Linked DNA regions of Saccharomyces cerevisiae S288C. Changing the gene in region 2 together with the main gene of any one other region gives a genetic interaction. Each region holds a gene or a part of one and is shown on either strand. Other genes may lie near its edges.

Region 1 (3,515 bases), on a different chromosome or scaffold from region 2:
TCCTTAAAGGAAAAAATCTCCAAAGGAAGGCCATACTGCTGCTGATTCCTTTTCACCGTGGCCAAGGAATCATCTCTGTATCCGATGATTCCTTCGTCAATACTCAACAGTACAATCTCAATGCCGTAATCGTAACGGTCATTCAGAAGCTTCAGCATATGCGCTAACACCGTGGAGTCTTTACCACCAGAGGCCCCCACGGCTACTTTTTCTCCCCTCTGAAACAAGTTATTTGCTACAATAGTGTTATGGATCTCCGTCTCGAACACGAGGCAGAAGCATTGTTTGCAAAGTTTAGACAGGTTTTTGGGTCTTCTAATGAGAGCCTTTCTTGAATGACATAGTTCACACAACTGTGATACCTTCACTTTTGTCGGTTTATTGACGGGATCTGAAGGAGCAGTAAACGACATGACGGTTCCTTTGCTTTACTCTTACCATATCGTCTCATCGCCAAAATTTTTCAATTACTAGATTTACAATTTTTTTTTTTAGTACAAATATACTCTCAGGATTTGTAACCCGGATAGTAACTCATTAATTCAAGCACTGTTGTTAAAATGTCTAGCCTTCTTGTTGGCTATCTGTAACCTCCTACCAGTGTTATCGACGTCATCTTCAAGTGCTGTAAGTAGCTCATTCTGTGTTTGCAGCTCCTCGTTCATCTCTAAGGCCAATCCACGTTGTGCCTGGATAATTCGGTGCAGTGCAACCAACTCTTGTTCTTGATCGCGCACCATTTGCATCTGCCCCTGTTGCAAATCGTTATTCGTTCTTCCTTGAACTTCCGTGGTTGAAGAGTTGTCACTGGTGGCAACCCCCAGAAGTCGTCCACGGTCCTGAGCTATGTTTGCTGTACCAATGTCATCGCATTCCTTGAGCAAGGACCTCAATAGAGCGGCGCGACGAGTCACTTCCGTGCTTGGAAGAGACTTCTTTTGCACATCCTGTTCTAGTCGCTCTCGTAACTTGTGGAGCTTCGTACGTGCCCTTAGTGCTCCACGCACGCTGGGTGTGCCATCACTCTCCTTATCTAAATCCAATTTAATATCTCTTATCATCTCATCCCATCCCACTTCGTCAGCAGTTTCTAGATGCTGCTGTGACTTTTCTTGAGAAACATTTGGCTTTGACAACTGCAGGAAGTCTTGCGCTATTTTTGTGTCTCTCCATCGAGAATCAAAACGATCGTTATACAATTCATTGAGGAACCTCTCTAGTCCGATCCGTCTTTCATCGATCATTTCCGGATCATCATATCTTCTTTGCCACCTCCTGTCCAATACACCGGGCTTTTCAGGGAAGTCATATGGGATGGTGCTTCCTACATCTCTCTCCAATCGTGTCTTCAGTTTCCAAAACTCGGAATACCTTTTGTAAAGGCGCTTGTTTGGTGTACTAACACCGTATAAAACATACTTGGGGTTGATTTTAACATCGTCCACCTTGATTCTTAACTTTTCACTCATTTTCCCTACAGAATTAGCTGCCATCAATATCAATTATCAACCCTTATATGACTTTATTGTTTTTGTTTTTGTTGGCTAATTAATTGATACAAATCTTTAGGCGAAAAATAAAAAAAATATAAAGTAAAGAAGGAAAAATTAGGCGATATTAAAACAAATCTAAAATAAAGACAAGAAACGAAAAAGAGGTTAATCAAGTATTGGAAAAATGTCCAAAGTGTTTATTGCCACAGCAAATGCAGGTAAAGCTCATGACGCTGATATTTTCTCGGTTTCTGCTTGCAATTCATTTACGGTAAGTTGTTCAGGTGACGGTTACTTAAAGGTGTGGGATAATAAGCTGTTAGATAATGAAAATCCAAAAGATAAGTCATATTCTCACTTTGTCCATAAGTCCGGATTGCACCATGTCGATGTCTTGCAAGCTATTGAGAGAGATGCATTTGAATTATGCCTTGTTGCTACCACTTCATTTTCTGGCGATTTACTCTTCTATCGTATCACTAGAGAAGATGAGACTAAAAAAGTTATATTCGAGAAATTGGATCTTCTAGACTCAGACATGAAAAAGCATTCCTTTTGGGCATTAAAATGGGGTGCCTCAAATGACAGACTACTTTCCCATAGGCTGGTTGCTACAGACGTCAAAGGGACCACTTACATTTGGAAGTTTCACCCGTTTGCAGATGAGTCAAATTCTTTAACACTAAATTGGAGCCCCACGTTAGAATTACAAGGCACTGTCGAATCGCCTATGACTCCAAGTCAATTTGCCACTTCTGTGGATATCTCTGAACGAGGACTAATTGCCACAGGTTTTAATAATGGAACAGTACAAATTTCAGAACTATCTACATTACGCCCGTTGTACAATTTTGAATCTCAGCATTCTATGATTAATAATTCGAATTCCATCAGATCGGTGAAATTTTCTCCTCAAGGATCCTTATTAGCCATTGCTCACGATTCAAATTCATTTGGTTGCATCACTCTATATGAAACTGAATTTGGTGAAAGAATAGGCTCCTTATCCGTACCAACCCATAGCTCGCAGGCAAGTCTGGGTGAATTTGCACATTCTAGCTGGGTCATGAGTCTATCGTTTAATGATTCTGGTGAAACATTATGCAGTGCCGGATGGGATGGTAAATTGAGATTTTGGGATGTAAAAACAAAGGAAAGAATCACTACATTGAATATGCATTGTGATGATATTGAAATTGAAGAGGATATCTTAGCTGTTGATGAACATGGAGATTCTTTAGCTGAACCTGGTGTCTTTGACGTGAAGTTTTTGAAAAAAGGTTGGAGATCTGGTATGGGAGCTGATTTAAATGAAAGTTTATGCTGTGTTTGTTTAGATAGAAGCATCAGGTGGTTTAGAGAAGCTGGCGGTAAATAATCTCTAGTAATATCTTGATATATTGCATGTAACCTTACAATCATCCATTATTCTTTTTGGTTCATAAAATTTCAGTAATATTTAATACCTTTAATAAGCCAATGTATGAATTTCACTTCACAAAAATAAATTTGCTAGTAATAAAAAAAAAAAATTGGTTTTTTTATGTATTTCTTAAATATTAGAAAGAGATAGACTCAATTCTTACATATGTATATGTGGAGAACTTGAAAAAAAAAATTAATAACAAAGTAAATGAGAAAAAATGATAAAGGGAAAGAAAAGGACAAGATGTTAAAAATCCAGTGCTTTTTTTTTTTGGTTTTCATTTTTTATAGTTTTTATTCCTGTCATAAAATTTGTTTAGTTTTTAATTTTCTTTTTTTTTCATATTTTTTTATTTTTTTTATTTTTTTTAATAAGATCACTCACCTAAGAGGTCCATATGGAGTACTAATAAAAAAAGTAATAATAATAATCTTTCTTCTTTATTTCGTTTTTCAAAAATTTTGTTAGCTTCCGATTTTCATTTTAGGAAAATATGTTTCTAGATTTTTTTTTTTCAAATTTTTCAATTTTTTTATTATATCTGTTTCGAAATTCTGTTTTCTCATGAGAGAAAATAATAAAATGATAGATTAGAA
Region 2 (2,899 bases):
TTATATTAGAGAAGGTTCAAAACTCGACCTTCTTCACTTGTTTTGATTATGCAAAAGATCACTCGGTACTAAGCAAGATAGGAGAAAGGGGTGTCAAAGATTCACTTTTTGGATTAATATATTTTCATTCTTTGCGATATCATAATTTAAATGCGACAACAAATATAACATCCGTTTCAAATGCAGAGAAACCTTTCGCCACTACTGTTATTAACATGAAAACAATTCAAGGCTTACTACGCTCAATTCTGAAAGACAATCCGTTCACCTTTTTGCCATTAAATACCTATATCGATGAAATATCGCACTTAAACCGTTCTGATTTAACAATAATCGGGAAAACAGATGTCACATCGTTACTTCACCAATTAACTAACTGCTTCAACGTTCTTTTATTCCTGAAAAAAATTCCAGAAAATTTGTTCACTGATGAGGCTTCTATCTTATATTGGATGCGCATAAACACTTCTAAAAGAAACCAGAAACCCTCAGGAAAAGAAAATCCAAAAACAATGGAACCCGAGGAGATTAATATGATACAAAGCTTTTTACGTTTTAATTTTGATGAGATTTCATCATTTAAGGCAAGCTTGAATATTTTGAGGAAAGTCTTAATATTTATTAATTTGAAATCCGATGATTTCGAGGATGCTTATAAGGGTCTTAACGAAATGGGTAGAAAATTAATTAATAGTGAAGCATCCAGCGCATTTAAGGGGATTATAACAAATCATAATATGTTCAGTGAATTATCGCTAGCAGCACTACTAGAAAACGTGCGTTTCTTGGAACAATGTACTATCCAACTATCTAGTTTCGTTCAGATAATTTTATTTGAAAAAATTCCGAACTGGTGGAAACATTATGGTGAGTTTTTAGCTTTACATAAAAGCTATCGGAAGGCTTTTCCTAACATGGTTAAGCCAAAAAGTGCATCAGATACCTCTAGTCGTGCTCCACTTGGTGGTTTTATTGAAACGAAGCGTGAACAATCGGAGCAAAGACTAGCGGTTCAGATAAAGGCCTCTTCAAAAATGCTCAAAGAACTTGGAAGCGAAATTTTTGTAGCTCACGAAAGGTTGGCCGAGGAACTAAGCAATTATATGGAGTTCAGGAAGGCGTGCTTAGATCAGCGTAGTCTTGTGGCATTTGCCACAACCAACATTAGCGTTCTTCAAGAATGTGTTTAAGATTGACTGAGCATTGCAATATTTTACCTTCTTCTCACTTGTTCTATAGAATTTTTTACCCAAAAATAAGAGATAAAGAGTTTGAAAGAAACATCATTACATATATATATATATACGGGCAGCTCCGTAACTCGAAAAGAGTGACAGCTGTTTTACTCTGTAATAGCTGACGATTCTTCAGTGATTGGAATAACCTCAGAACTCACCGGTACGGGTAACGTTTGTATCTCGCGGATTAACTTTTCGCATTTCGACCTACTGAGAGAAGAAGTTCCTTTTGTTAATCTGTACCTTTATCTTGAAAGCAGTCGTTACAGAGGAACAGCATTGGGAATCACCAACAAAATAAGAGGAATAAGCTCATCCAGTCCACTTCTTATCCATATAGAAACCCCTTCTGTATCAATTCAAATTAAGTGATGTCTTCTAGAAAAAAAAATATTTTGAAAGTAATCATCCTAGGTGACTCTGGTGTTGGGAAGACCTCCTTGATGCACCGTTATGTCAATGATAAGTATTCTCAACAGTATAAAGCAACAATTGGGGCTGACTTTTTAACAAAAGAGGTGACAGTTGACGGTGATAAAGTTGCCACCATGCAAGTTTGGGATACTGCTGGACAGGAACGTTTCCAATCACTGGGTGTTGCTTTCTATAGAGGTGCAGATTGTTGCGTTTTGGTCTACGATGTGACCAATGCCAGTTCCTTTGAGAATATTAAGTCTTGGCGAGATGAATTTCTAGTGCATGCGAACGTAAACTCACCAGAAACATTTCCATTTGTTATACTGGGAAATAAAATTGATGCCGAAGAATCTAAAAAAATTGTATCAGAAAAGTCCGCTCAGGAGCTTGCTAAATCATTAGGCGATATTCCTTTGTTTTTAACAAGTGCCAAAAACGCCATAAACGTTGATACCGCATTTGAAGAAATTGCAAGGAGTGCTTTACAACAGAATCAAGCTGATACAGAAGCCTTTGAAGATGACTATAATGATGCCATCAATATTCGCCTAGATGGAGAAAATAATTCTTGTAGCTGTTGAGCTGTACTACTTAATTGTATCTTCTATTATGTAATCCTTTATAGCGTATCCTTAAAAAAATTAATAATTTAAAACTACTAAATATATTTAGGGATGTGATGGCCCTTTCAATATGAGGCTTTCGATTACCATGTGCAATCTGTCTATGAACCTTAGTTAATTAACACAACTGTTAAATAAAGCGATTTACTACACTTGAGATAATATAACTCAACAAAACGTGACAAAAAATCACATGACTACCTAACAAAATATTTATTTTTCTTTTTTAATATTTGAAAATACTAAAATATTTTTGTTGTTTTTTGAAAAAAGGATTTTTAATGTGTATGCGTTCCGAACTTTAAATATAACGTCAGCGTAAAAATAATTTTTCTCCGAATGTATATCGAAATCTCAAATTGCTCTTAGAGATTTAGATTTCAACGACAGGATAAATTGGCTAGAGTTGAAAAAACTGCACAGAGTATATAAAAGATCTTGCAATGGATGATTAAAATTTACGGTATTTCATTTTTCCAATGAATGGCTTTTCTAAGAGAAATTAATTTCGCAATTTGTTGATGAGAAGTTCTGGCTACCTTAGTCACTATTTATTTTACTATGGCGGTATAAGTTTCTCCCGCCTTGAAAAAAGGAATACAGTAATAAAATGAATATAAA

What was found.
Region 1: mutations in YPT7 (region 2) and VAM7 together harm fitness less than expected from each alone (positive genetic interaction), as found in Saccharomyces cerevisiae (3 studies listed by BioGRID).

The regions. Positions count from the first base shown.
Region 1 is NC_001139.9:89,410-92,924, reverse strand, and holds VAM7 (Vam7p), read right to left. Parts: upstream 1,494-3,515; coding exon 543-1,493; downstream 1-542. Other genes in the region: NCS6 (Ncs6p), read right to left, coding at 1-413; SKI complex subunit WD repeat protein SKI8, read left to right, coding at 1,678-2,871. UniProt on the Saccharomyces cerevisiae protein: Essential for proper morphogenesis of the vacuole. May exist as structural reinforcement on the surface of the vacuolar membrane and be required for maintenance against rupture by osmotic pressure.
Region 2 is NC_001145.3:265,565-268,463, forward strand, and holds YPT7 (Rab family GTPase YPT7), read left to right. Parts: upstream 1-1,609; coding exon 1,610-2,236; downstream 2,237-2,899. Other genes in the region: VRL1 (Vrl1p), read left to right, coding at 1-1,190. UniProt on the Saccharomyces cerevisiae protein: Ypt/Rab-type GTPases are key regulators of membrane trafficking and intracellular vesicular transport.